Xenopus tropicalis: one gene and its partners. The protein of the gene in region 7 interacts with the protein of the main gene of each other region in a biochemical or structural test. Links are inferred from orthologs where the notes say so. Each region holds a gene or a part of one and is shown on either strand. Other genes may lie near its edges.

What was found.
Region 1: the proteins of stub1 (region 7) and ube2v1 form a complex in vitro, tested with the Homo sapiens proteins (4 studies listed by BioGRID). The link is inferred for Xenopus tropicalis from reciprocal best matches to the Homo sapiens genes STUB1 and UBE2V1.
Region 2: the proteins of stub1 (region 7) and hsf1 form a complex in vitro, tested with the Homo sapiens proteins (2 studies listed by BioGRID, with this or other methods). The link is inferred for Xenopus tropicalis from reciprocal best matches to the Homo sapiens genes STUB1 and HSF1.
Region 3: the proteins of stub1 (region 7) and insr form a complex in vitro, tested with the Homo sapiens proteins (2 studies listed by BioGRID, with this or other methods). The link is inferred for Xenopus tropicalis from reciprocal best matches to the Homo sapiens genes STUB1 and INSR.
Region 4: the proteins of stub1 (region 7) and runx1 form a complex in vitro, tested with the Homo sapiens proteins (3 studies listed by BioGRID, with this or other methods). The link is inferred for Xenopus tropicalis from reciprocal best matches to the Homo sapiens genes STUB1 and RUNX1.
Region 5: the proteins of stub1 (region 7) and ube2n form a complex in vitro, tested with the Homo sapiens proteins (11 studies listed by BioGRID and IntAct). The link is inferred for Xenopus tropicalis from reciprocal best matches to the Homo sapiens genes STUB1 and UBE2N.
Region 6: of the proteins of stub1 (region 7) and irf1, one has a biochemical effect on the other in vitro, tested with the Homo sapiens proteins (4 studies listed by BioGRID, with this or other methods). The link is inferred for Xenopus tropicalis from reciprocal best matches to the Homo sapiens genes STUB1 and IRF1.

Annotation. Positions count from the first base shown.
Region 1 is NC_030686.2:36,460,625-36,465,357, forward strand, and holds the start of ube2v1 (ubiquitin-conjugating enzyme E2 variant 1), read right to left. Parts: upstream 3,105-4,733; 5' UTR 3,007-3,104; coding exon 2,985-3,006; intron 1-2,984. UniProt on the Homo sapiens protein: Has no ubiquitin ligase activity on its own. The UBE2V1-UBE2N heterodimer catalyzes the synthesis of non-canonical poly-ubiquitin chains that are linked through Lys-63.
Region 2 is NC_030682.2:152,297,580-152,300,852, forward strand, and holds part of hsf1 (heat shock factor protein 1), read right to left. Parts: intron 3,057-3,273; coding exon 2,991-3,056; intron 2,858-2,990; coding exon 2,788-2,857; intron 2,681-2,787; coding exon 2,484-2,680; 3' UTR 1-2,483. UniProt on the Homo sapiens protein: Functions as a stress-inducible and DNA-binding transcription factor that plays a central role in the transcriptional activation of the heat shock response (HSR), leading to the expression of a large class of molecular chaperones, heat shock proteins (HSPs), that protect cells from cellular insult damage.
Region 3 is NC_030677.2:111,788,514-111,792,761, forward strand, and holds part of insr (insulin receptor), read right to left. Parts: intron 3,768-4,248; coding exon 3,449-3,767; intron 3,004-3,448; coding exon 2,855-3,003; intron 866-2,854; coding exon 721-865; intron 524-720; coding exon 309-523; intron 1-308. UniProt on the Homo sapiens protein: Receptor tyrosine kinase which mediates the pleiotropic actions of insulin.
Region 4 is NC_030678.2:13,905,855-13,910,102, reverse strand, and holds part of runx1 (runt-related transcription factor 1), read right to left. Parts: intron 2,124-4,248; coding exon 1,967-2,123; intron 1-1,966.
Region 5 is NC_030679.2:56,089,082-56,093,329, forward strand, and holds part of ube2n (ubiquitin-conjugating enzyme E2 N), read right to left. Parts: intron 2,503-4,248; coding exon 2,256-2,502; intron 1,055-2,255; coding exon 914-1,054; intron 410-913; coding exon 369-409; 3' UTR 1-368. UniProt on the Homo sapiens protein: The UBE2V1-UBE2N and UBE2V2-UBE2N heterodimers catalyze the synthesis of non-canonical 'Lys-63'-linked polyubiquitin chains. This type of polyubiquitination does not lead to protein degradation by the proteasome.
Region 6 is NC_030679.2:36,218,963-36,223,711, forward strand, and holds the start of irf1 (interferon regulatory factor 1), read left to right. Parts: upstream 1-1,375; 5' UTR 1,376-1,467; intron 1,468-3,090; 5' UTR 3,091-3,095; coding exon 3,096-3,182; intron 3,183-3,781; coding exon 3,782-3,881; intron 3,882-4,260; coding exon 4,261-4,437; intron 4,438-4,643; coding exon 4,644-4,690; intron 4,691-4,749. UniProt on the Homo sapiens protein: Transcriptional regulator which displays a remarkable functional diversity in the regulation of cellular responses.
Region 7 is NC_030685.2:14,823,089-14,826,813, reverse strand, and holds part of stub1 (E3 ubiquitin-protein ligase CHIP), read right to left. Parts: intron 2,052-3,725; coding exon 1,886-2,051; intron 1,731-1,885; coding exon 1,640-1,730; intron 314-1,639; coding exon 257-313; intron 57-256; coding exon 1-56. UniProt on the Homo sapiens protein: E3 ubiquitin-protein ligase which targets misfolded chaperone substrates towards proteasomal degradation.

The DNA of each region.
Region 1 (4,733 bases), on a different chromosome or scaffold from region 7:
ACTAATGGGCACAGTTTTCATTGTCCTGTCCTACCACGACACAATTAATTCTGTCAGTGGCACAACCTGCTTTTTCAAAAAAGACTGCCCTGCCCTTGGCCATCGGCTGCCAAAAAGACAGGTGCTAGCACAGCAAGACCCCTTTGTTACCTTAATTCAGGAACGGTCGGTGCGATACAGAAACGCTCGACCATGCACTCCCCCCCCCCCCTTTGGCATTACCCTAGCCGAGAAACTGCATTTGTCTTTAAATAAACGAAAGCAAAAGAGAAAGGATTGCATTATTAAAGAAAAAGGAACCAACAACCTGCAACTTGCAGTATCTACATTACAATCCCGAGCATGTATGGATAGCCTGGAGGTCTTTTAGTATCACAAACTATATATTAAAAAAAAAAAAACTGCTAAACCTCAAGGGAAAAGCTGTGAAAGTTACAACACTTCCTATTCGGAAAGGGGGAGGGTGAAACCTGTTGAAGAGGTAAATTCCCTGTTAAATTAAATTACCATGGCATATAGCAATGAAAGCATACATATTAGGAATTAGTTTTTATCCATAAGGAGACATCTAGGCTTGTTGAAATGGCAAATCAAGTTAGTTGCTAGTAATATTTAGAGTGAAGACACACAGAGCTACTAGTAGCAGCTACTTGTCACGGCTACTAAAATAGACAATGCTGATCATTTACTGATAATTGTCTCTATGTGTGTTTTAGCAGAGGCAATTCTCAGTATTGTCTATGGCAGGGGATTTTCTGGAGTTTAATAGCCATGAGAAAGTAGCTGCTACTAGTAGCTTAGTGTGTCTTCACCCTTATACAGGACCCAAACAGTTCTGTTTAACCTGTCCAAACTGAGGCTGAGATTCATGTTGAGACCAGACAGAATGGTCACTTATCTACCAGCTAACTGTACTGCCCAGACTTCAATCTACCTAGAAGGAAGTATTCAAGGGATTCCAGGGCACCTGAAAATAATGCCCTGGGGGTGCAGGACATTGCACGGGCACAGACTGGATGTCTAACATGACAGAATATTAATATGAAGTTATGTATTGTGCTTCCTATAGTGCCCCAGGGAACTAGGGAAGGTGCCAGTTTGTGGCCATAGGATACAGTGCATTAGCTTGATGGAGGCAGCTCCCAGTGCGGGCAGCCATGTTGTTTCCCACGTATGCGATTCACCCTCCTATGTCACAAGCATGCGCATAATGAGCGAGTTGTGGCAGGTACTTGGGGAGCTCGCTCCTGGTGAGGGCAGTCTAGTGCTGCCGGGGGCTTAAAAAAAAAAAAAAAAAAAAAAAAAAAAAAACTACTGTTTCCCCTAAACTGAGTAAAGATGGCCATACGCTGGCTGATTTCAGCTGCCAATATATCAGTCCTTTAGATCCAATGTGCCTGTGTATGGGCACCAACAATCTCCCTGTTTATCTGCCTGTGTATGGGCACCAACAATCTCCCTGTTTATCTGCCTGTGTATGGGCACCAACAATCTCCCTGTTTATCTGACTGTGTATGGGCACCAACAATCTCCCTGTTTATCTGCCTGTGTATGGGCACCAACAATCTCCCTGTTTATCTGACTGTGTATGGGCACCAACAATCTCCCTGTTTATCTGACTGTGTATGGGCACCAACAATCTCCCTGTTTATCTGCCTGTGTATGGGCACCAACAATCTCCCTGTTTATCTGCCTGTGTATGGGCGCTAACAATCTCCCTGTTTAGCTGCCTGTGTATGGGCGCTAACAATCTCCCTGTTTATCTGCCTGTGTATGGGCGCCAACAATCTCCCTGTTTATCTGCCTGTGTATGGGCGCCAACAATCTCCCTGTTTATCTGCCTGTGTATGGGCGCCAACAATCTACCTGTTTATCTGCCTGTGTATGGGCGCCAACAATCTCCCTGTTTATCTGCCTGTGTATGGGCACCGACAATCTCCCTGTTTATCTGCCCGTGTATGGGCGCTAACAATCTCCCTGTTTATCTGCCTGTGTATGGGCGCTAACAATCTCCCTTTTTATCTGCCTGTGTATGGGCACCAACAATCTCCCTGTTTATCTGCCTGTGTATGGGCACCAACAATCTCCCTGTTTATCTGCCTGTGTATGGGCGCCAACAATCTCCCTGTTTATCTGCCTGTGTATGGGCACCAGATCTTGATCGGGCAGGTTTGATTCTTCTGTCGGACCGGGGACCTCATTGATGCAGTCACTGCACTAACGGTGCCTATGCCCACTGTTTTAATTTGATAATTTGGCCCTAGGGTGGGCATATCGGGAGGAGATCCACTCTATGGGCGCCCTCGCCAAGCAAGCGTTTCTTACAGTGTAAGGCCACCTTTAGGCCACACTACTGATGGGGAAACAATTAGAAACTGAATGTAGTGCCTTTTTCTCTAGTCCTGACTGCACTATTAATCCCCTGGTTTCTGCTACATTGCTTCAGGAGTCAGTACCAGCAGAGCACATAGAATTTTCATTTGCCTATGTGGCAAAACCCAGTGGAAGTCAGTGACTATTGGGACGTTGCTGAGTAATTCTTCTGCAATAAATCCTGTTTGTGGGCGGTGTTCCCCTTTAAACGTGTGGCCCTGCAGCTGTCAAACATGTCTGATTGCCCGGCATTAGTAAGGGAGAGCCCAGGCAGCCCTCTGCAGCCGCCCAGCCCGGGGGAACAGCAGTGCAGGCAGGGCCGAGTCTTGTCACTGGCGGATTGGGAGCTGTAACACCTAGTGCTTCCCTCCCAGGCCTCCGGGGGCAGCTGATTCCGCGCTACCGGCACAAGCAGGAACCCGGGGCTCCTGACAGGGCAGAGCCGTGCGGAGAGGTGCGAAGGCCCCGCAGCAGCGCTACCCGGGCCAAGGCACCGCCCCACAGTACAGCAGGAACCCCAGAGAAGCCAGTTCCTGGCCGGCGGTGCAACCTGCCCTCAGCAAGCCCTCCCCCCGCTTCCCTGTCCCGCAGCGCCCCGTCACCCAGCTCACCCGAGACCGTGGTGGCCGCCATCTTGCCTTCGCAGTGCTCCTGAGCCGGCCTCCCAGTGACGCCACACAGGGCGGGGAGCTTCAGCCGGCTGTCAGGCAGGGAGTGGGCGGGGAGAAAGGGCTGACTCACACGCACCATAGAGACGGGAAGAGGCGGCGTCAATACGTCATTACGTGCTGCGTCTTGCGTCATAAACGAGACTGACATGCTTCATAAGGGAAATGTATGAATAGGAAAAGTGTAAATGTGTCAAAAATGAGATAGATATAAAAAAAATAAACTAAATGGGCAAATATATGGCCCAGGTATGTACCTATAGCTAGCTTCTGGGAGCAAAATGTTTTTTTAATCTCTAGGCCTTGTCTTCTTATATTGTATAAATATGTTTGTATTTTACACATTACAGTATGATGGTACAGCTTATTGTGTGATTCTAAATATGTCCAACAACTCACTGCAGAGAAAGAGAGGCTCAGGTGCACTGCCCAAGCCTTTAGCTAAGGGAGTGGATATCATGTTTTTTTTGAAAAAAACTCACTGAGCATATCGTGAGGCAGAATTCTTGATTAAAAAGTAACTTCATTGGAGCTGCCATATTGTTTCCTTTAGTACAGTACAGTATGAGGGTACAGCTTATTGTGTGCCCAGAACATTCCTTCTCTGTATATTTGTATTTATACATATGGGAGGGAGGTGCCATAATGTTTCCCTTAGACAGTACAGTATGGGGGTACAGCTTATTGTGTGCCCAGAACATTCCTTCTCTGTATATTTGTATTTATACATATGGGAGGGAGGTGCCATATTGTTTCCCTTAGACAGTACAGTATGAGCGTACAGCTTATTGTGTGCCCAGAACATTCCTTCTCTGTATATTTGTATTTATACATATGGGAGGGAGGTGCCATATTGTTTCCCTTAGACAGTACAGTATGAGGGTACAGCTTATTGTGTGCCCAGAACATTCCTTCTCTGTATATTTGTATTTATACATATGGGAGGGAGGTGCCATATTGTTTCCCTTAGACAGTACAGTATGAGGGTAGAGCTTATTGTGTGCCCAGAACATTCCTTCTCTGTATATTTGTATTTATTCATATGGGAGGGAGGTGCCATATTGTTTCCCTTAGACAGTACAGTATGAGGGTACAGCTTATTGTGTGCCCAGAACATTCCTTCCCTGTATATTTGTATTTATACATATGGGAGGGAGGTGCCATATTGTTTCCCTTAGACAGTACAGTATGAGCGTACAGCTTATTGTGTGCCCAGAACATTCCTTCTCTGTATATTTGTATTTATACATATGGGAGGGAGGTGCCATATTGTTTCCCTTAGACAGTACAGTATGAGGGTACAGCTTATTGTGTGCCCAGAACATTCCTTCTCTGTATATTTGTATTTATACATATGGGAGGGAGGTGCCATATTGTTTCCCTTAGACAGTGCAGTATGGGGGTACAGCTTATTGTGTGCCCAGAACATTCCTTCTCTGTATATTTGTATTTATACATATGGGAGGGAGGTGCCATATTGTTTCCCTTAGACAGTGCAGTATGGGGGTACAGCTTATTGTGTGCCCAGAGCACAATATTTTATATTAAGATTTGTCGTATACATATGAGGAGGTACCATATTGCTTCCCTTAGCACATAATAATCTATACCCTTATACACTGCTGTTTAAGGGAAACAATATGGCAGCTCCAGTCCAAATATATAAATATGAGAGAGAAGGTTCAATGCGCA
Region 2 (3,273 bases), on a different chromosome or scaffold from region 7:
AGGATCTTCACTTCTCCGCAACCCAACCAACTGGTCTATTCACTAGGATCTTCACTTCTCCGCAACCCAACCAACTGGTCTATTCACTAGGATCTTCTTTCTCTGCAACCCAACCGACTGGTCTATTCACTAGGATCTTCACTTCTCCGCAACCCAACCAACTGCTCTATTCACTAGGATCCTCACTTCTCTGCAACCCAACCAACTGCTCTATTCACTAGGATCTTCATTCTCTGCAACCCAACCAACTGGTCTGTCACTAGGATCTTCACTTCTCCACAACCCAACCAACTGGTCTGTCACTAGGATCTTCACTTCTCCACAACCCAACCAACTGGTCTATTCACTAGGATCTTCACTTCTCCACAACCCAACCAACTGGTCTTTTCAAAAGGATCTTCACTTCTCCACAACCCAACCAACTGGTCCTTCAAAAGGATTTTCACTTCTCCACAACCCAACCACATGGTCTATTCACTAGGATCTTCATTCTCCGCAACCCAACCAAGTGGTGTATTCACTAGGATCTTCACTTCTCCACAAACCAACTGGTCTATTCACTAGGATCTTCATTCTCCGCAACCCAACCAAGTGGTCTTTTCACTAGGATCTTCACTTCTCCACAACCCAACCAACTGGTCTTTCAAAAGGATCTTCACTTCTCCACAACCCAACCACCTGGTCTATTCACTAGGATCTTCACTTCTCCACAAACCAACTGGTCTATTCACTAGGATCTTCATTCTCCGCAACCTAACCAACTGGTCTTTTCACTAGGATCTTCACATCCCAAACTCTTATCTTTGCACCTCAGGAGGCTGGTCTGATATTTTTGGTGGCAGCTGCTGCCTATTAACCTACATCACTATATCTGTAAGATTCTTATTCAGTGGAAAGAGATTAACATTAAACTGCCAAAGTCTGGGGGGGGGGGTCGTTGAACACTTTGAGGGCAACAACTGAAAGCGCGCGGTGATTAATGAGATATTCGGTTCCACAACACCAGCAGGCCCATAGTGCGCTGCCACTCGCAGAAGGATCTTCCACTTTCCTAATCTTAACCCACTGTAGCTGATTCAGAACCAACGTTCAGTCTGGAACCAGATCGCCCTCTGTTCTGCTTTAAATTAAAAGAAGCAGCTTTGTATGATTTTCTCTCTGGTACACGGAGACCGGCCGGCCGGCCCCAGCTCGTGTCTATGTACCCGGGCAGTCGGTGGCTCCTGCTGTTCTGATGTTTCAGGCTGTTGGCCCCAATGAATGTAACAATAGAACAGGGGGCCAGAGCACGTACAAACCCTTGTGTAGCAGCCGCCTGTTGAGCTTGTGGGCTGGCCGGTCCGGTTCTGTACAGGATCAGCCCACGTAAAGCCACGTTGGGAGACTGCAATGTTTCCACGAGCCACCAGATTAGACATGATGTTTGTGCTGCCCGTATATACAAATGCCCATTTTCCCCACCCACTTGCCAACCAACCCACAGACCATTGGCTGGGGTATCATGAGAAGATGGGGGAAAGATTGGTTCATGTTATGCAGGAAGCACGGGGTTAAGGGCTGAAGAGAGAGGGGCAAGTATGAAGATGAAGGAGCCGCTGATATTACAGAGGGCAGGATTTAGCATCTCCCAAACCTGTACTACACAGGGGGCAGTGTAAAGGCCTGGGGGGCCCAAAGTAGGGTGACCAGATCACTTGAAGATTCAGGGGCGCATCTAATAAATACATGCTGCAGGGCATCTGAAATCAACTGCAATCAGTGCGGCCCTTCCAGTTGGATTTTTTAGATGTGCCCCCCAAAATACAAATGATCTGGTCCCCCCCCAGCCCAAAGGGCACCGGGAACGGCACCCCCTATGAAAGATGAAGACCCCGGCAGTGGAGAGGAGACCCAATGATGAATTTGGGGGGCAGAATGGAATTAGGACCCTGGTGGTGTTAAGGGGTAACTATATTTTGCAGTGGCACCCACTTTCCTGGCTAATGAGCCCCAGTATGGGTGTAGGGGGGCAAACAAGATAATGCAGCAAATCAGATTTTTAGGGCAAGTAACACAAAACTGCCCCAGAGAACTAACCTCCTTGGAACTGCTCCAAATCCCCAGATTCAGCCAAACTCCACACCTTGTCACATGACATGAAGGGGCCAAACAATAAGCATTGCCCCAAATCTTAATAAGTGCTGAAAAATGCAGAACCCTGGTGACTCTATGCAAGTACTGCCCCTATTGCCCCACAGATCCCTAGGTGGGAGGGAAACTGCACCCCTAACCAAGGCAGCGGGGGGACCCGTTCCCAAAGAGGCACGCAGTAGGCTCCACTACTAGAAAGACACACTGAACAAGCCAAAAGCAGCCATCCGATTGGTCCATCTTGCAGCAAGATCAGTCCCTTTGGCATGCAGACGCTGGGGCAGAATGGGGGGGCAGAATGGGGGGGCAGCAGCAGCACTACCACACGCACTTCAGTAAAGTCCCCACATATTCTAGGAGATGCTGGAGCCCGCCGGCTTGCTCTGGGGGTCCCAACACAGCAGAGAGAGGGTGGGATCCTCTGAATAATCATCCCCTTCTTCTGCAACGTACGGCTCGTCCCCCTCCAGCTCCAGCAGAATGGGCAGGTCGGAACCGCTGGAATCCATAAGGATGAGGGGCTGAGCCGTATAATGGACGATCTGCTTTCCTGCAGGGAGAGAGAGACGTGGGTGAAGCACAGGGGGAGGAGCAAAACAGCCCTGGGGGGGGCCCTCTAGTGGGCAAAGCCTGCATTGCAGCAGTGTGTGCAGGTACCTGCGTCAGGTGTTCTGGACTCCACTGTCTCCGATGCCTTCTGATCCTGAGACGACAGCAGCTCCTGGATCTGAGAGACAGCGGGGCATTAGGTACAGCACTAGCCAATGGCACACAGGCAGGGGGAAAGGGGGGCTGTTCCAAGCAGGCACGGGGGGGGGCAGAACTCACTGCACAATCCATATGGGGCCCATTATACTCACACTGGCAAGGCTGGAGTCAGGGTCGGGCAGGGGCAGGTCAGGGATTCCCAAGGACGGACTGAAGAGCTGAAATAACACAATAATGAATGGGGGTCAGAATAGAAATTGGGGATCCTGAATCAGGTCTAAAATTCGGGGGCAGAGGAACGAGGGAAAGGGGGAAAACAGCAGAATGAAGATTATGGGAAACAGGAGGGGAGTGAGGGGCATGGAGGAACCAGGGGACACAATGAGGCCCCCCAGTAAGGCCTGTACCACGGTCCCAGGGGAATGAGGGAGGGGG
Region 3 (4,248 bases), on a different chromosome or scaffold from region 7:
ATGTGTGTTTATATTATGGAAAATTAGATTTTTAATTTTTTTTTGCATTTTTAGACATTTAGAAGCCTATATCTTGTTACAGAATTGGAATTACACAAAAAATCTACCATATTTTGAAAGCTTAGGTTGTTCTGAAAAAAACGATATATTGTTTTCCTGGGTAAACTAAAAGTCCCCCCGAGGAAAGGCCCCTAAAGTGAAACAGTGCAAAATGTTCAAAAACTGTCTGGCAATACAAGTTCTGCTTTGACCAAAACAGCTGGCAGTAAAAGGGTTAAGGAAGATAATCCCTTAAGGAAAGCACTCACAAGATGCCTGATCTCCATTGGTCTTTGTAGATATATCATTCTTGTCTTGCCGGCCCTTTGTTCCTGTAACCTCCTCCATTTGGTGAATCTCCGCTAGACATAGTCGTGGGTTGTGATGGAAGAAGAGCTTGCCATGTATGATGGTCAGGTTGTGCTTATGCCAGTCCCACAGCTGGCGTAGACTGGGATTATCCAGAGCATAGAAGGAATAGTTACTGTAAAATAAATCACAATGTTAGGAAACAGTTAATCTAAGCTGATGTCACACAGGGAGATTAGTAGTTGCTTTCTTATAGCTTTCTAAGCTGTAAGTACTTTATTGTGAGAGTTCAATAAAAACTGGATATTTGATGGTTTACAAAACTGTAAAATGTGTTAAAAAAAGGGAAACCTGTGATTCCACCCCACTCACCCTGCTTCCAACACTTCTCCCCTAATTAAACGCAGCTTGCGGAAGAATGACAAAGACACCAATGCATATGATCTTCTGATCTTAAGATATCCAGAAATCTCCTCAATGAGGCCCAGGTTAGCTTCTAATTCTGTTGCAATATTATCTGGAATAAAAAAAACAGAATGTTAATGAACAGATCAATAACAAAATTAAAACTGAGTTCTATGGGAATCACTCGAAAACATATTTTACTAAATGATCATTTCTAAACGAATTTTCTGTTAGAATTCACATTTTGCTTCTTTCCAGTCTGTATAGTAAAATTCGATCTGGTTGTCAGGGTCACTGTTCCTGGCAAAAACAGCAAAAAAAGTCTCTTTCTCTTCATCTTCCGGTTGCCGGGTAATTAAGTCTCATTGTAAGCAACTTTTCAGTTATTTATTTTGTTGTTTTTAGTTGGCCTTCACATTCTGGCTCTTTTCCTGCTTATTTTTTTTTTTTTGGCTCTCTACAATATATCTTCAGTTGTAATCTCTGCTCAAAGATAGCCATTTCAAACCCTTTCGGCTGCAGAAAACAACATGTCAATAATAGTTCTACAATGATAATTTAAGATAAAAAATTCCCTCACAAAAAAAGACAATAATAATACAATGACCATAAAAAAATTGCTTCTTACAGTCTTCACCCCAAAAATAACATTGCAGATCATTCTTATCTGGAAAAGCCCTAAGCAACCTTGGGAAATATGTATTTCCTCTGTGGGTCTGAGCTGGGCTGAGCCTGAGGGCCTATTAGGATACGATTTGGAGAGAAACATTATTTGTTGCAATTATGAAAACAGTGGTTAAAAAATTGGCATTTTTACACAGAAAGATAAAATTAAGTATTCTAGGGCCTATCTTGATCAGATACATTTTGACCCACCTTCCTATTACATTCAAAATATATTTTCATTAGTACATACAACCTATAAATCAATGCTGACAAACAAACACGAGAAAAACTTCAAAGGTGTTTTACAGCTGGTAGCTAGAAGTGTCAGAGAGGGAGCGGCGCCTTTGGATAAACACTGAACTTAGAACTTGGAACTAAAACCTTGGTTTGATTATGTGCAAGGTCCTTGTGACCTTAAACGAGGTAAATCTCTCAGTAGCTCCCACACCAGACAAGAAGTTGTAATGCATACAGCACTGAAGCTAAATAAAAAGGTGTACAGATACACAAAGATTTGATAATTATTTGATCATTCTTGACTGAATTGACAGGCCAGAGGACCCTAAAAAACTATTTTGTCAATACCTTGATCTCTGGCCCATTTGGCCATCCACACCAATGCCTCTGGCTTAATTAACAATGTTAGTGAAAGTAATAAGTCTTAGCTAAATTAAACTGACCTTATAAAGTATATAAATAAATGAAAGCTGGACCTCTAATGTGACAATTTCCAATAAAAGGAGGGTTATCCCCCTGAAACCTTGAACACTTCTGTCTAATTTTTCTACTTTTAAAAAATGACATAAAATTCAACAATACATAATGACAGAAGGTAATCATGTGATGACGCTATTCATACCCCTATAATGTAGTAAAAGGCAAAAAGTTTATCTAGGTACAGTAGCCCCTGCAACCAATACAATGCTTTTAAACAGATTACCAGTTCATTCTACGAATCCTACACTATACGAATCCTAGTACAGAGCACTTCTGTATATATAACCAGACATTACAATGTTTGCCATACCCTCACTTTGTTTTAGGAAGAGCAGTTTTGCAGTACAAATCGGCCACCATCAACTTTATTCCCAAGAATATTTTATTGCCCCCTATTTATATGAATATATTTTTTATTTATTTATTGTCCACAGATTTATATTAATAACATTTTTTATATCACTTCATATATTCCAGCCCACAAACAGGTAGAACATAAGGTCAGGCCATGGAAAAAGGTCACAAACTAAATAACTTAAATGTTGCCAGTAGCAACTTTTACGTTGCAAAAGACACAATTTGTTGGCACACCTACAGTAAAATCAACCTTTATTTAAGCAATTAAAACCTGTACATTAAAAGTAACTGAGCCCTCTGGTCTCGTTAAACCTGTAAATGACTCTGTACATAACACTGTCTATCACTGGGTTATACTTACTGCCTCCACGGATGTTGATGATAAGACTACCGTTGACCACTGTGCACCCTCTTAATTCTTGAGCAGATGTCACAGAGTCTATGGTCTTGACACTTTGGTAGATGGTGCAAACTTTGGGGCAAGGTCCTGCGCATGGTGTACAAGTACGGCTGTAGAGAGATGGTACATCAGAATAGAAATAAAAAATATCTTCCTTTCATACCAGAAAATATCATATTATGGTGTGTTTTAATTATTGTGAAATGTCATCCCTATATCAATGACCCTAAAGCTATAGCTGCTACAGATATTTATCCCAGAGGCAAAAAGAAGATGTTTGCATAACATTCCTTCAGTAAAATTAAAATCAAATATACTTAAAATCAAAAACGCCCCAATATTAATGACCCCATACTTACAGGATGCTCTGCACAAACTTTTACAGAAAAAGACCCCCCAAAACTGTATACCACACTATTAAAATTTAGCATAGTAGAAAATACTGGAGCTATTTAAACCATCCCAAAATGTAGTTATACTTCATGCAAATCCTGTGCACCTTATGCATTTTGATGGTAACAAAATCTACATATTGGCACAAAAAAAGCTACTTACGTAGTTGAGTTGGCAATATAGCCTGATGGGCAATCTGGCATGCACTCTCCCTTGTGGATGACATAAGGAGGACAGGAATTTTCCTTATTTGGGCACCGGTTGTGCATTTCTTGACAGGTATTGAAGTCAATGCACCGCCAACCCTGGAACCGGTAAGACCCCTCGGGACATGCACTGATACACACACCCTGATACTGGTAATGCCGGCAGGCGGTACACTCAGTTGGATCATTAGGCTTTCTGCAGCTTCCAAGGCACTCTGAGTGGCAGCACTGTCCATCTGGCAAACAACCACTTCCCTTGCATTCTGAAGGGCACACTATGCACAGAACAGAGAAAGTTTGTAAGACAGTAAGTATATAGAACCAGTACATAGAATTTGTTATTTTATGATATTGTAATTTATTTTCTAGTTAGTGCCAGGCATTTCCTCTTCAAGAGAATGAAGTAGTTGCCACTTTTCAACACCCTGGAATGTGGCCTGAACAGGGACAGGGGTTTTATGTCCAGATATGACTTTAACTAAGAGATCTGCAACCTAGAAAAACACAGCTAAGGACAATTTACTTCTCAAAAGACAATTTCTTTAGGCTGACTTCATCTCACAACAAGGTGCTAATTGCACTAGTATTTGCATCCTTGGCAGAGTGAAGCTAAACTGTGCATTCTAGGAAGCTTGTCCATATCTGGACCAAAATGTGATCTTGTCTTTACATGTCACATTTTCCATTTGTAGTTTATTTATTACAGTTTGATATAGACAGACAGTTTGATAATGTAGTGCACCCTTATCTTATCTC
Region 4 (4,248 bases), on a different chromosome or scaffold from region 7:
TCACATTTCACCTACAGAGCTGTCATTTGGGTTCCCCTGGGTGAGTTAATAAGATCCGGGGAATACTGGAATCCAATGGGTTTCATATGTAAAAATACTCCCTCGGCTTGCATTCCGCAAACTGAGAGGCTGCTGAGTGTCACTTTAATATTTTCAAGTGCAGATGTAGAATATTCTATGAACTGATGGAAAGGGAGATATGGAGGTAAATGGTGATGCACAAGCAGTTTGCTTTCTTTTGCATTGCAAGCTGCAGGGGGTGGATTTTCCTTATAACGGAGAGAGAGCTTCCTGACCAATAAAATATCTAACCCTGGGCGAGCTCCTAGTTTAACACATAGCACCTGATAATGAATATCAAGGGGCAATAAAATAACAGGTGCAAAGTTTGCTCAGAGGCTGATAATTTATAGCAATTGCTTTCATTATTCTTACTGCATATCAGTAACTGTAAACTGCTTTTTGTTTGTTATGGGTTACTAGACCCCATGCAAACAGGAATAATTACATTGCTCCATTTCAAAATATTCAAAGGAAAGTCAATAGTTCAGGTCACACATTATCCCACACACTGGGTCGGCCTTAGTGCAGGGCACCAGATCCCAACACATACCATAGAAGGGTTAGAAGGATATTGGCATCACTATACAAAACTCTTTATAGATACATTAACATGTATAATATTTGGTAAAGAGTGTAGATTTAGGGAAATGTTAAGTTATTATAGGCCCGAAAAGTACAGTCAGTATCAGAGTACTAGTGTTGCAGGACAAATAGAGCAGGATTATTGATATATTATTTAACAAGCTTGTTTCCATAATGTCAGTATAATACAGTGTAAACCTGTGTTTTGGGGCGTTTTAAGTTCATGCAACCTTTTCTGGAAAAAAATACCAGCCTTCTGACTTTTTCACCTTTCTTCCCTTCTTATAACATTGGCATTAAGCAGCATTTCTACTGGCCAGGGTAGTAAAATACCATCCAGGTGGAAACCTCAAGCCCCCCCACCGAGGTCCAAAGGGGACCAGGGCCCCTTTAGTTTACAACAAGCTTACTGACCCTTGAAAAGATTGCTGTATAAAACCTTTCAGCCATATTTCCATTTTGTAAGCCGGCTGTGTTCGCCCACAAATCCTATTCAAACTCATATTCAAGCTGGGTTCGAAGGAGAATCTAAATGAGCAAATGCACATTGTCCCCAAATGACACTGTAACTGGCCTTTATACTGGGACTTCTTAGTCATCTACTTAAGGGGGGGCAGCCTCACAGCTTGGGTGTCATGATTCTAAACTAAAATAAAAAGAAGAAGAAGGCTAGCTTGTCTATTTCTTTTAATCCATGTTTTACTGCAACATCTGTCGATCACATTGCTAGTCAAACACAACATTGTCATTGGCCACACCACAACTAGTCTCTTCGCAGCCAGGCCTTGTCAGGTACTGAGGACCAGCAAGCAATGGCTAATGTTCAACCCAAGCCCAATACATAAGGTTTGAAATGAAAAGTTAGTTCTTTCTCCATAGATTTCAGTATCAGGGCACTAATTACAGAAGACCACTAGATGGTGCTGGTATTTAAAATACTGCTGGTATTTAAAAAGGTGAGAGCTGCAGTATGGCAGCTTCTACTGCCAAATAATTAAGAAATGGAATGTTCTATGTACACAATAAACTTTTACTTTTTATGCTCTGGGTAAGGCATGATCTATGTCCTCCCAGGGTGGTAGTGCCAGGGCTATATTTGAGGAAGTCCAAGATATACCCCCTATCTCCCCCACCATGCGACTTGACAGAGTTGCTTGGACTCCAGCTCTAGCTACACATCAACAAGGTATATGACATTGACCTTTGCTGTCTCTCCTTATTTCGTCCCTATGTAAAGAATTCAGAATTCTAAAGAAACAGCATCAGACAGGCTGGTGGCCCACGTGCAAACAGAGGCAATATTTTTTTAATTTTTGGTTACCTCTTCCAGATCTTCCGACAAATCGCAAGTCATTGAAGCGGGCCACTTGATTCTTCATGGCTGCTGTGGCATTCCTTAGTTCAGCGGAATAGTTCTCATCATTGCCAGCCATCACTGTCACCAGTGTCCCATCAGGAACGTCTCCCAAGGCCACCACCTGGGGCAAGAGAAGGAATATTGAGGTGGGTAAAAAAATCTTTATCCCCAAATCTTACCAATCTGTCCCTGCCCTGTACAATAGGAAAAAAATAATAACATTATGAACCAGGAACTCTTCCTCCATCTAAGTGGCATTTAGTCTTGCTAATATTCCTGCACACTGCGTATATAGCTGCCAGCTCAGTAGCAGTATTAGTTCCTACATTTATCAGATCAACCTGCCAGCCTTGGAACCATAGAGGGATAATATTCTATTAGTACCCTATGAACTGTTCTATACAGAGTAAAGGAAGATAGGCAAGCAATGAAATAATTAAAAACACACAGATGAAATAAAACATGTAAATACAATACTGACATTACAGAGAAGATAGATAGATGATATATAGAAAACTAGATAGATAGATAGATAGATAGATAGATAGATAGATAGATAGATAGAATCATGATAGATAGATAGATAGACAGACAGATGATAGATAGATAGATAGATAGATAGATAGATAGATAGTTAGATAGATAGATAGATAGATAGATAGATAGATAGATAGATAGATAGATAGATAAGCCCTGGATATATAGGTGATTGGTATATTCAGTGAAAACAAAATGACAGGTACTTGCAATGCATTGTGGGTGAAAATAAAGAATTGTGGGATAAAAGTGGGCCAATAATGTCACATATATATAGGTGAAGATGTGAACTTTGTCAGTGTAATATACATTTACACTAAATAAAATCTGACCTGGCATGCTAGATAGATAGATGATAGATAGATGATAGATAGATAGATAGATAGATAGATACATAGACAGACAGACAGATGATAGATAGATAGACAGACAGACAGATAGATAGATAGATAGATAGATAGATAGATAGATAGATAGATAGATAGATAGATACATAGACAGACAGTTAGATAGATAGATAATATATGGGTGACAGCCCTGGACTCATTGCAGACTGGGGCCCAGTAGTTACAGGTAGGCAGACTGAGCATAGAAAGAAAAGCAGGAGACGGCAAAATAAAAAGCATTGCTGTTAGTACTGTCCAACCTGCAGCCCTTCTGTTGCGGCTGAAGCACAACTCCTAGCATCCACAGACAGCTGAAGAGGAAGGGCTATTGGGAGTTACTTTTCCACAGCAGCTGAAGAGCCACAGTCCCAGTTTAAATAATAACAGGGCGCCACAAAGTCTGTTTTAATCTCTCATGCACGCATGCACAAATGGCCACACATACATACACTCATACACACTCATACATATACACATACATATACACACACATAGATATACACACACATATATACGTACACACACACATATACACATAAATATATACATATACACACACACACACATACATACAGACATCTGGACACGGAGCTAGACTGACAGAACTACTGATAACAGACAAGGGCTAAACTTGATTGCCATGTAACTCCAACTCTGTGGCTAAATTATAACATATTGAAGATGTATTTATCTATACAAGTCAGATTTGGCCAAAACATACTCTTCAATCAACCACTAAAACAGGAAAGACTGACTCAGATAATTAACACCAGCCCAATAGCCCTGTGTAATGGGACTATCCATAGAGGTCATGTATACAATAGCCAGATAAAGTGATTATCAGAGAGTGCGGGATAAGATCTTACATTAACCCACTGATACAGGCAGGGCCCAGTGCTAATGAGTCCCCTCCAGGAGGCAATGGATTCAATAGGGCAAAGTAAACTGACGCCTGCTTGTCAGAGTCTTAGCGGCTCAGCTCAATGCCTCATCTTTCAGAAGAAACAGACATTGAAAAAATAAAAAGGAATGAGACATAAAAAAGCAATGAAAAAATGCTTTTACACTGTATTTTGCTTTGTAAAGGTTGAAATAAACTCAGTAGACAAACAGGCGAGGTACAGACTAAACCGACATGAAGGGGCTTGCACAATACACACTGTTTTGTCTCGCCGCTCAGCCTTAACGGATTAACTGTAAGTTGCGCAGTGCCCTCCATAACCCCCTTCAATGGGAGGAATAAGGGTTAAAAAGAGACTGAACAAAGGCCACTGTTTTTTAATTGGATTTAACGGAATCTACCGTTGTAACAAAGTACAAGAG
Region 5 (4,248 bases), on a different chromosome or scaffold from region 7:
AAAATTAAAAAAAAAAACCCAACTGTTTCAGCAACTAACCTAACTCTACCTTCATTCACAGTGCTCATACTCAAATCATGATGGGTATAATGGACATCAAGAACTTTTGCCACCCCTTTGAACATTGTGGAACATGCTGACACGATGGATTACAGCCTCTGCGCATGCGATACAACAGTGAATTAGAACAAGACATATTATTTGCTAATGTGCATTTAATCACCAAAGATGACCATGTCTGGGCTTTTTATTCCATATATTTTATTAAGACTGTGTCCATTAAACACAAACAAAAACAAAACAAAAATAAAGGGAAGAGGTCTTGGCAGAACAGGAGAAATGATGTGCACTTGAAGATCAAGCCGAATTTAAATATTATTCATAGCATGTAGCCTAGTCCATGCTCTGGCTGCAAGGGAAGAGAGAGCACAATGAGAACAACATAGTACCTGCCTATACAGACAATGTTATGCATTTACCTGCAGAGATATTCAGCAAATTTCTCCTTTTTACCAGTCCTTCACGTTCATGCATACAATGCAATACACTGAGCGCACACACTGTATTATATTACATACACAAACACACTATAAAATGGTCAGAAAATTCCAGAATCTCATTCCAGAATGTTTTCTTTAAATCTGTCTAAGAGAAAACAAGATCACTAAAGACAATTGCACCATTAGAGACTGAAAATGCTCAAATTCGTGTTTTTTCTGACACTGTTTGGTTGCAATCTACTGGTCACAACAAAGCTATAGCTAAATAAAAAACATAAAATGACAAAGCACAGAGGGGATTCATTTTCACCCCAAAGCTGTATTTTGGTAATTTCAATCAGTATTGTGCAAGAATGTAAAAAATACAGAATAATATTAAAAAAATAAAAATTAAAATCTTCGCTTTTCAATACCTGTTTCTATGGCTTGGGCTTCATTTGTCTTCCACTGCTCAGCTACATCATTGGCTAATGGGTCATCTGGGTTGGGAGCACTTAACAAAGCCTGAATTGATAGGAGCACGGTACGGATTTGCAGAGCTGGTGACCATTTATCTATACATGAAGAAAGAGAAAATAAGACCCTACTCTTTGCCTTTAAATTCAAACATTCATTTCATGTTCACATGATCATGTGTTATTTATTATGAGTACAAATTATATGGTACCTTACTATGAGTAAATATGCAATTAAATAGTATGCACTCAATAGTAAGAAATCCAAGTCTGGCTTGGGACTACATGGGAGTAGGAGAAACAATAGGTTGCCTGGAAACAGTTCTAATGTGTAGCGCTGGCTCTTTCTGAAAGTTCAGCCACTGAGATGGCTGCCTACACAGCAATATTACAACTAAAAAAATAAATGTTGGTTCAAGAAAATTTTTTTAAATGGTAGAGTGAATTATTTTCTGTTTAAACAGTGTAATTTAGAAATAAAAAGTACACCATAAAAAATCATGGCAGTATCCCTTTAAAGAACATAGTAAAGCCCAAAACCACAGTTTTTACACAAAGTAAAACACGTCTATTACCATTATATTGACAGGTGTCAGCAAACAATGTGTTCGGCAAACAAAAGGAAAAATCCCAAGAAAAAGGCATACTGAGCAACATCCCAGATAGGTTTTTTTTTATCTTAATTAACATAAATTCATGACTTTAATTTATAATAATAAAAAAAAAAAAACTTGCAAGGAATGTTTAACCATTTATGGTTTTAACAAAGTAGTATTAAAATACCAATGCAATAGATATACATTTCTGGGTTACATTGTAATCTAAGGGGAAAACAACATGTTGCCTAGCAACAAGTCTAAACAAGTTCTTACTGCTACTGGCACTTAAAGAAATAAGACTAACACCATGTGGTGTATTCTCTATGCACATACGGCAGATGCCATGTCTGTCAATGATAACTGAACAAGATGGATTAAACCTAATTGGCATTTACTCCACTGGCATTTCTGATGCATATATTAGCATACACCTGTATGCAGTTACCAACTGGAATGGAACACATTAGAACACTGTAACATGCTAGTGCAATAGTTACACAATGTCAGTGTGTATAAAAAAAAAAATAACTGAACTCCACAATGCAACAGTTCAGAAGGTAGCACAACTTATTTTTGTTGGCTCTTAAAATGATTTAATAGTCAGCACTTAAAGGCACGCTGTATACAGTGATGCCTAAGTCATTTTTAAAAAAAGAATCTGAAAAATAATAGCGTCCTTTTAAATAAGAGGAAAAACTTACCTTTCAAAATATCTAGACATATTCTTCCCAACTTGTCTACATTAGGGTGATAGATTTTGGTCATGAAACGTACTTTAGGCGCTGCCATTGGGTATTCTTCCGGAAGAAATAATTCAAGTTTAAATGTCCCTCCCTCAAAGGGGGAATCCTGTGGACCAGCGATAAGCACATGGAAATAGCGAGCATTGTTTTCATCTGGCTCAGCCTTAATTCCGGGGACTGGCTCTGCCAGTAAACGCTGGGTTTCCTGCAATGAAAACACCAGGACAAATGTAAAATGTGTAGTGACTGAGGAGATAATACACATATATTATATAAATGAAGAACAGAGTTCCGCACACACAGGGAGTTTAAAAAAAGAACAAAAAATCTTTATTAATCCAACGTTTCCAACACTAATTGTGTTCCTCTTTAGGGATATGTATAGATATAGATATATAAATGCCAATACATGTGTAGTAAACTTATGTTAAAAAAATTAAAGGTACTTTTATGACTATCATCTCTAAAACCCACAACAATATTTAAACATTAGGAACCAAACTAAACACACTTTTATTACATTTTATCTAGCACTTCTGCTTTGCAGCGTTGGGGTCCTGAGTTCAATCCTGGCCTGGAGTCTGTATGTTCTCCCCATGTCTGCATGGGTTTCCTCCAGGTACACCAGTTTCCTCCCACACTCCATAAATATAAACAGAGTGTGTGTGAATGAGCTAGGGACCTTAGATTGTAAGCTCCCCTGGGGCAGGAATGATGAATAATCTCTGAAAAGTGCTGTGGAAATCAGTCAGTGCTATATAAATAACAGGAAATTAATATATATATTTAAAAGCACAGTAAAAAAAATTCTAAGCCTTCCAGTGCTAAATATAAGGATATCAGTAATTGCCAAAAGTCCTTTTTTGACTAATGCCTAGAGGAAAAAAAAGAAAAAAACCAGCCATCTCAATCTGGCACTGGTCACCACTTTATGTATGTCCAGTAGGGTGCTTTTTATTTTTTTTATTCACTTGTACTAGGAGTAATGAGAGTGGCAGACCAAATGCCACTGTTTTCCACCAGATGGCAGTTGTGGACATAATTCAGACCCTGGGATGGCACTCCTCAGCACTGATAAACCACACCAGCCCAGGCTACTATTTCACCTGCCCCAGGCATCCTTTGTGGCTTGTCTGTATGCTGGTGCTAGAGTGACAGATCAGAATTTGAACCTGGAAGCTGAACTCTATCCCTACTGCACATGCCCAGGGCTGCAGCAAAATATTTCCTGTATAGGGAAAGATGATGGTGGTGCTCACTAGAACAGCACCCAGGCTGGCCAGGGTCTAAGGTCAACAATCAAACACCCCTTTCATTTATAAGCTTAGCAATAAGGATGCAAGTTTCTAGTATTATAAGCTTAGTAATAGGGATCGCACCAAATCCATTGAGACTAGGCTAAATGCCACATTCTCCCCCATGTTTGGTTGATCGCTAAATCAAGTTCAAACCCTAATTTGCACAGTCGAAGAGGATAAAAATCCAAATAAAACTAAGTAAGATATTGCCACTTTCAGCAGGCCAGAGCTTTAAAGTCACCATCAGTTGTGGGTTTGCCCTTGGGTGCACTAAACCAGGGGTCCTCAACCTTTCTTACTCGTGAGCCAAAGTCAAATGTAAAAAGACTTGGGGAACAACACAAGCATCATAAAAGATCATGGGGGTGTCAAATAAGGGCTAAGATTAGCTATTAGGTAGCCTCTATGCACACCATCAGTTTACAGGAGGGTTTGTTTGGTGGTACATCAAGGGGCCCATTTATCAAAGTCCGAATTTCAGACTTTTAAAAGTACGTTTAGGAAAAATTTGTATCAAGTATGAAAATTTCTCATGTGCGTTAATTGCGCAAAAACTCGCATTGTGGTCGTACAAAAATTTTGTGGTACGATCCGAAAGTTCACAAATTTTCGTATCTGAATGATCGTAAACAAAAAACTTTGACTTTGAGCCT
Region 6 (4,749 bases), on a different chromosome or scaffold from region 7:
ATTCCCAAGGCGCAAACCACTTTTAAGCAAAAAGAACATTATGGCTCGTCTCAATTTTGCTAAAAAACATCTCAATGATTGCCAAGACTTTTGAGAAAATACCTTGTGGAACTTTTTGGAAGGTGCGTGTCCTGTTACATCTGGCGTAAAAGTAACACAGCATTTCAGAAAAAGAACATCATACCAACAGTAAAATATGGTGGTGGTAGTGTGTTGGTCTGGGGTTGTTTTGCTGCTTCAGGACCTGGAAGGCTTGCAGTGATAGATGGAACCATGAATTCTACTGTCTACCAAAAAATCCTGAAGGAGAATGTCCGGCCATCTGTTCGTCAACTCAAGCTGAAGCGATCTTGGGTGCTGCAGCAGGACAATGACCCAAAACACACCAGCAAATCCACCTCTGAATGGCTGAAGAAAAACAAAATGAAGACTTTGGAGTGGCCTAGTCAAAGTCCTGACCTGAATCCTATTGAGATGTTGTGGCATGACCTTAAAAAGGCGGTTCATGCTAGAAAACCCTCAAATAAAGCTGAATTACAACAATTCTGCAAAGATGAGTGGGCCAAAATTCCTCCAGAGCGCTGTAAAAGACTCATTGCAAGTTATCGCAAACGATTGATTGCAGTTATTGCTGCTAAGGGTGGCCCAACCAGTTATTAGGTTCAGGGGGCAATTACTTTTTCACACAGGGCCATGTAGGTTTGGATTTTTTTTCTCCCTAAATAATAAAAACCCTCATTTAAAAACTGCATTTTGTGTTCACTTGTGTTATCTTTGACTAATAGTTAAATGTGTTTGATGATCAGAAACATTTTGTGTGACAAACATGCAAAAGAATAAGAAATCAGGAAGGGGGCAAATAGTTTTTCACACCACTGTATGTGTGTGTATATATATATGTGTGTGTATACATATGTGTGTGTATATATATATATATTCCATGCAACTATAAATAGTAAAACATATATGTATATTAATTCCTATAAAGTACTCCTACAGGTTGCAAACACCACCTGCTCACACTTCCCACAGATATTTACAGTGAGTAGTGAAGGTGTGAGCTGCTGCTGCCGCTGTTTTTACTCAGGGAAACACAAGGTGCAGCATTACTGCAACTCCCATCCCATTCCTTGCAATGCACAGGCCAGTAATTAGCTGGGATATCAGTTTCAGGCTCGGACTTCCCCCTTCTTTTTTTTTTTTTTTTTCTCTCTCCGCACTACTGTACAACAGCCTGATTTCCCCGAAATGATGCCGAGCTGCTAGCCCAGCCCCTACCAATAGCGGCGCAGCAAAACACATGGAGTGGGCGGGCCGAACAAACTAATACCTGGGGTTCCCCGCTATACATAATAAAGTCACTCAGGCTCTCTCAGGGAAACATCTCTCCAGGAATCGCTCGTTTAGGAGATATTTCTAATTCACGTCGCCCCTTTTCTCTCTGGATTACAAATTCCTGCTAGAAAGGTAAACTTCATCGTTTCATTTGCTTCTGCAGAACAAAAAAAGGACCTTTAAATGCACGAAACATGATAGAATCTGATGCTGGAGGCTGGTGATGTTCGGGGTGATGATCGCCTGGCATATTATGTGCAATGCATTGGGATTTGCCTCTGCTCTGGCACTGACGGGTATAGCTAATGATAGAAGATGGGGGTCAGGCTGAGGGTATAGCTAATGATAAAAGATCAGGATTAGGCTGAGGGAATAGCTAATGATAAAAGATCAGGATTAGGCTAAGTTAGATAGTTAGACAGCAGATCAGCAGCCAGTAGATGTTGCTGTGTGTGCAGTGGGCACTTTATCATGCTGTTATGTATTCCTTATTGCTTCTGTATCCAATGAAGGAGGAAGTTGGAATTAAAAAGCAGCAAGGCATAGGAGAATGGAAGACAAGGCTGACCCCTTGGTATAGATAGGGCAAAAAAATACATTTTTAGTATGGAGTGTGGGAAAGTTTGCACTGTATGATGAGACTGCATATAAATGTTTCCTGTGACTCTGTGCTGATCCTTCTGCAACTTGTGACTCTCCAGCTATTGCTGAACTCCTGTCCTGTGATGCTGGCAGAGGCACAGACTGCATATCTCTGCATGCAAACAGGAGTTAAATTCAGTATCTAAAGAGTAAAAATGCAGCTCAGTCTGTGTGTCGTGACTGCTCGTTTCCCAAAGAGGTTCTGCATCAGCTGTGAGCTGTGGGTCACTCTTCCTTGCACTGTAGAAGTGCTGTCTTTAATGTGCATGCGGGGAGGTTTAACTGTTTGTGGTCTGGGTGTTTGTGGTGCAGAAGTTCATTTGTTTCTTTACAGCAAAATGTTATTTTTTTTTTTTTGGTAGCAGCAGAGATCAGGGCGGTCCGTTTTATGCTGGCGGTAAAAACACAGAGGAAAAAAAACACAGCAGCCAGTTAGGTTGCGTTTCAGAGGATGTAAGCCAGTGCTTGGGGGCGTAACTATCCCTGCTATCTTCTTGTGGCTTCAAGCAGCACAACCCAGCTCTGTGAAGCTCCACATGTTGCTTTTGGCAGCAGCTTTCAGCATTGTGTTGTGCAAGATGGCAGTATTCCCACTTATATTCTCAAAGCTTGTAGTTTTGTCTTAGATTCAAAGGGAAACATTTAGGTGGCACTGGCATGTAATACAGTCTTTATATTTCATTGCACTGATTAAGCCAGTAGTAATAGTAGTATAGGAATAGGAGTTGTAATTCCAAATATATATATGAAAAAGTGCAAAAAAATGAAAAGAAATTGGTGTCTTGGCTGGATGAGAACATTATAATAAAATACACATTGGGAGTTTTATTTGCTTTGATGGAAATTTAATTTTATTATGCAGTATTTTATATGTGAGTTTAGCACTCCGTTTGGTTTTGCCAGTTCACAGGCAACTTTTGGCAACTGTTGTAGAACCATATTTCATAGTTGAAAACTTCAAGGAAGAGATCTGTGATGAATAGTAATAAAGTAATTTTACTGGTGTCATCCCAGGGCAGTTTGGAAATAACATACAAAGCATGAAGATTTCAAAAAAAGAATGGAATTCCCCACTGACAGCGAAAAATGACCTTGTGTGTTTTTCTTTTGCAGAAATAATGCCCGTTACACGTTTACGGATGAGGCCATGGCTAGAGGAGCAAATAAACTCCAACAAAATCCCTGGACTTTCATGGATCAACAAGGTAAGGGCATGTATACATGAACTTTCCCTTTAGAGCAGTGGCATACAACACATGTATAAGCCTGGAACTTCTATATTATGTTTGTCAGTTAACGCTGTGATGCGCTTGTTTATAAAAGGATAGCTCCTGTTTTAGTGCTACTGTCACTTTAATGTTAACAACCTTACATCTACATCTTTGTTAGTAAAAACAATTGCAGTTATGGAGTATATTTAGCAAAGAAGAAAAAGAAAATTCTGCAAGGTTTCTCCCTACTAAAATAACTGAAGCATTTAGAGAATTCTGTGGGCGTGGGAAGTGATTTAGGACATTTGGGAAGGATTTTCTGTTTGCTTTGTGATAAATGGCAGATTTAGGGTTAGAGAGATGTAGTTCTGCATAATAAACATTGCAAATATACTTATGGTTAACAACGTTTTCTATCTCTTTTAATCAATCTGCCTTGTGAATAACATTGCCATTATGTAAAATACTGGCCAGATGGCAACCCTGTACGCATGAGAATATATTTTATATAGTGGTTTGGCTATCAAAGCAACTTGTTTATAAACATCAGTGCTCCTTGGAGGAGGATAATAAGCAGATCTTCTCTTCTGCAGGAAGAAATGATATTTGAGATCCCTTGGAAACACGCTGCTAGACATGGATGGGACATCAATAAAGATGCGTGCCTTTTCCGTAGCTGGGCTGTCCATACAGGTACGGCTAAAAGGGTGGGTGGAAGTGCCTGCATATTATAAAGTCTCTAGGGGATGTATAAAGCTAATGTCCTGAAGCACAGTTTAGCTTAGATTCTTAAAGGAACTGGTAATATAACTGCAATATGTAGCCTTTCCTAGCCTGATTCTAGTTGTATTAGTTTAATGCCAAGTTGCTGCCCATGAACCTATGGTTAACAATTACATCATTAACAAGGCAGCCAATATGTCTCTCAGCAGATAATACAAGATGATACTTTTCTCTCATTTGCTTCTATCCCCAATATCCTACATTATGCCAAAAAGTTGCGTTAGCAACACAAAAGTTTGTTTTGGTCTTGGTTTATTCTCTGAAAATATTTTCTTTCTCAAATCTGCAGGACGTATTAAGTCTGGTGAGAAGGAGACAGACCCTAAGACTTGGAAGGCCAATTTCCGCTGTGCAATGAACTCCCTGCCAGATATAAAAGAAGTAAAAGACAAAAGCATATACAAAGGTTCCAGTGCAGTCCGAGTGTATAAAATGCTCCCGCCTCAAATAAAGGCCGAGAAGAAAGGTAAATGCTTATTATGAGCCATATGTCACCATGCATCAGAAGCCATTATGATTTCAGGTGCACACATATCTTACATTACAGAGCCTGAAAATTAATATTTTTAATAAGATGTATAAAAGTAATGTCCTACCTCTTTTTGCTTTTGGGTTTGCTGAAAATTGTAGTTCAGTGCTGGAATGACCCTGGATATTTTATTTCATTCACAGAACGCAGATCCAAGGCAAAAGACTCCAAAAGCAAAGCCAAGAAAAAGGTACAGTTATTTCTGGAAATAGCAAACCAATGCTTTGTCAGAAATGGCTATAGGCATAT
Region 7 (3,725 bases):
TCTCTCATAAGCTCAAAGCTGATCTTGCCGCACAGGTAATCTGGGATATCTCTCTTCTGTTAAGAGAAGGACCGGGAGAGCTTAGAATAAAGACAACATCATGGCAGCTCTACACACGGCTTTTCTCATTTCTTATAGCTGCCAAACCCAAGCTGGAAACACGGATATAACGGAATACCGGTAACTCTAGGAGGCTGAAAAGGAAAGCTCTGGGCCCTGTATGAGCTATGACTGCTGTCGAGTATTAAACACTCACCTTTCTCTTTTCATCCACTTGAGAGAAAAGCTCCTCCATCTCAGCAAGATGCTTGTCCTAGAGAGCAACAAAAAAAAAAAACAGTGTTGGCGACTGCAGCTGTACAGTGATAAAGATGTTCCCTTTATCCATAAAGATGTCTTTCCTCACCAGGACCCCTCTCTGTGCAGAGTGTGATTTCTGCTCTGTAGTGTTCCAGGGAGCGGGACTTCAGCTGCTACAGGGGCACTGGCTGATAGGGTAACTCACCTGCCACTCAGAGCACAGATCACAGCTGTACAACATGACAAGGCCTCAGCTGATACAACCAATAAACCAGCATCCCTTATATATATTAAGCGGGGTGTTTTGGCATGGAACTTGGCTCTGATGGGCACAACCCTAAATATGGCCAACGGTATGGGAGTTCTAAGCAACTTTATAACTGGTCTTCGTTATTTATTTGTTATAGTTTTTTAATCATTTGCCTTTTTCTCCAAAATCTTTGCAGTTTTTACATGGGGGTCACTGACCCCAGCAGCCCAAAAACTACTGCTCTGTGAGGCTCCAGTTTTATTGTTACTTTTTGTAACTTTCTCTTCTATTCAGGCCCTCTGATATCCAAACCACTCCCTGGTTGCTAAGGTAACTTGAACCCTAGCATCCAAATAGCTGTTGAAACTCCAAGCTGGAGAGCTCCAGGACTGAAAAGAAAATAACTAAAAAACTACAAATATTAAGAAATGAAGACCAATCTCAGAATATCATTCTACATCATACTAAAAGTTAACTCAAAGCTGAACAACCCCTTTAAAGCTGACATAAACCGAATAGGATTGTTTAGTCACCAATATGGATTCATACAGCTTAGTTACCATCAAGTAAAAGGGACTGTCTTATTGAGCACAGTGGCACCCCTCTCCAACATGGTTTCCCTTTAGGTACTGAGACAGTGGAAAAGCAGTATATAAAGGTGGCCATATACAAGTAGATTTAAGCTTCTGATTGGAGTGATTTAGACTGATTCAAAACCTTATCTGCCCATGTATGGGGCCCCCTGATGGACCTTCGGGGACCGCATCGACTCATTGACGGCTCATTGTAATTTGGTCCTAAGGCCAAATGATCAAATTATCCCGATGTTGCCCACCTGAAATGGGCATATCAGGAGAAGATCTGCTCGTTTGGTGACCTTGTGTATTGTAGGTAATGTAGGTGGGCAACATCGGGATAATTTGACCTTATGAACTCTGCCTACACAATCAAATATCTCTGCCACAACCCTTACAAGCAGGAATATCCATGGAAATTTCCATCCTGCGTTAGATAACCCAGCCTAGCAAGAAAGACAATAATGGTGCAAGAAACCCCAGAACACTATGCCCCCATAAGACTCCTACTCACATGTTTGGAAGCCACACTAGACAACAGGGCTCGACTTCTACTCTCCTCTACACTATCCTCTTGGTGTTTTCGCTTTGCTTCTTCAAGTTCTCTGTAAACGAAGGATAAAATAAAAATATTAGCTGAGGCCGAGCTGTGGCGGAGACGTGATCCATAGACATGTTCAAAGAACCCAACATAAAAGCTCATTCCCATCCCATACAAGTATCTTATGGCCGAGGCTGAAGGCCAAATGGCCACCCCCACCTCTCTTTCTCGGCCAGGATGAGTTTGGTGAGATAGGAGTGCAGCTCATTCTCCTGGTTGATTCGTCTCTCTTCTATGCTGTTCCAACGTTTCTTCTTGGCGATTCTCAGGGCACTGGGGATATCATCTCCGAAGTTCAGCCTCTGCTCCTTGGCCAGGTTATAGGCTGCAGGGGAAGGAAGGAAATACCAGTTAAAGATTTGTAATGTGGAAACTGGCTGTTGGTTTAGGTTGTGCAATACAAAGGAACACAGGTAAAGGTACATTGCTAAAATAATCCATAAAGAGGGACTATGTTCAACGCTCTCTGTGTTTATACAGAGAAAGATACACAAAAGCCCCAGTAACACTGCTGCCAATATGACACTATGCTACGGACTTAACGCTTGCTCATTTGTAGCCCAGTCACTGAATGCCTCCCCCTTGGTAGCTAATTCAATCAAAAATTCATTTTTAATTTCTATAGTAACCATAAAGAGGTAGGGCTGCTTAAAAGGTACCAGGGGGCCCTGGGCAAAATTTCACTGGTGGGCCCCCACTGCCCCAAGCAATTTGTGATAGAATAACCCTCAAGCACGTAAAGTTTGATATAGTAAAGCAGGCAGTAAAGAAATGGTCTGGTTTGACTGAAGACATGGCTTTCCACCTTTGCCAGGTTATAAACCCAGAAAAAGGGGTGTTTGTGATGATGTCACCACACAAACCGCTGATGTCATCACCTATCTAACCCAGACAGGTGGCAACCCTTGATCCACTGGTGTGCTGCCCTCGACCAACAGCCCTGGGTGATGCCAAAGGAAAAATGGAAAGAAATTACAATAACCCTACTATAGAGCTCTTCAAGTTAATGAGGGGTCAGCCATCTTTGCTCAATGCTTCTGCCAAAAGTTTGCCCCTTGGCAAATGCCCCTTTTGCCCATTTATTAAAAGGGCCCTGTAAAGAGGTATCCACCCTGTGTTGAATTCATGGGAATAAGGGGGGGTCACTGCCGGCACTCAACTCTGCCACGGTCAAGTCAATAGGTCTGTTTAAAGCTAAGCTGACTCTTATAACCCCCGCCATCTATACTATAAAATTATCTGTCAGCCATACGTAACAAACATGCACAAATAAATACATATTTCTAAGGGGACGTGAATCCCCATAACCACAAGATTATTAGCCCTGCCTGGCACACTATACAGTAATACATATGAGACAGGGGTCATTTACAGCTTCTAAATAAAGCTGATTTTTCCCTAGCTGCATTAATCAATAATACACACATATGTACACTCAGTTTATTCTCTACCCAAACACAACTTGAGCTTTTTGAAAAGTAAACATAATTTCAAGCAACTTTGCAATATACATCAATTAAAAATATGCAGCCTTTTCATAATTTGTAATGTAATAATATGGTTTGTAACAGTTCCCTAAGCCCCGCCCCCTGCTGATCTGACTACTTTGAGGCTCAAATAAAATGTATCAGTAGTCGCCTGTCCTGTCAGTCTGCATCCTCCATATCCCACAATTCCCTGTACATATGATGCCATTAAGGAAAGGAACATCACAGTGCAATGCATTATGGGTTATATAGTTCCTGCATGCTGTCTGTAAGCTGTGGAGAAGTTGTTACAATTTGTAACATCAATGTTTTAGTCCCTCCTCCCCTGCCAGGATTTCAAATGATGCAGAAAGAGAAGAACTGCTTTGCAGCTGGATTTCAGCATATAAAAATGGTATTCATTCCTACTTTAAGGAACAGATTACAGTGATGGGTATATTAGGGGTTTCTGTGTTTAACAAATATTGTTTCAGAAGCCGGAGTTCCCCTTTAATAGCATTGCCCTCAGCTGA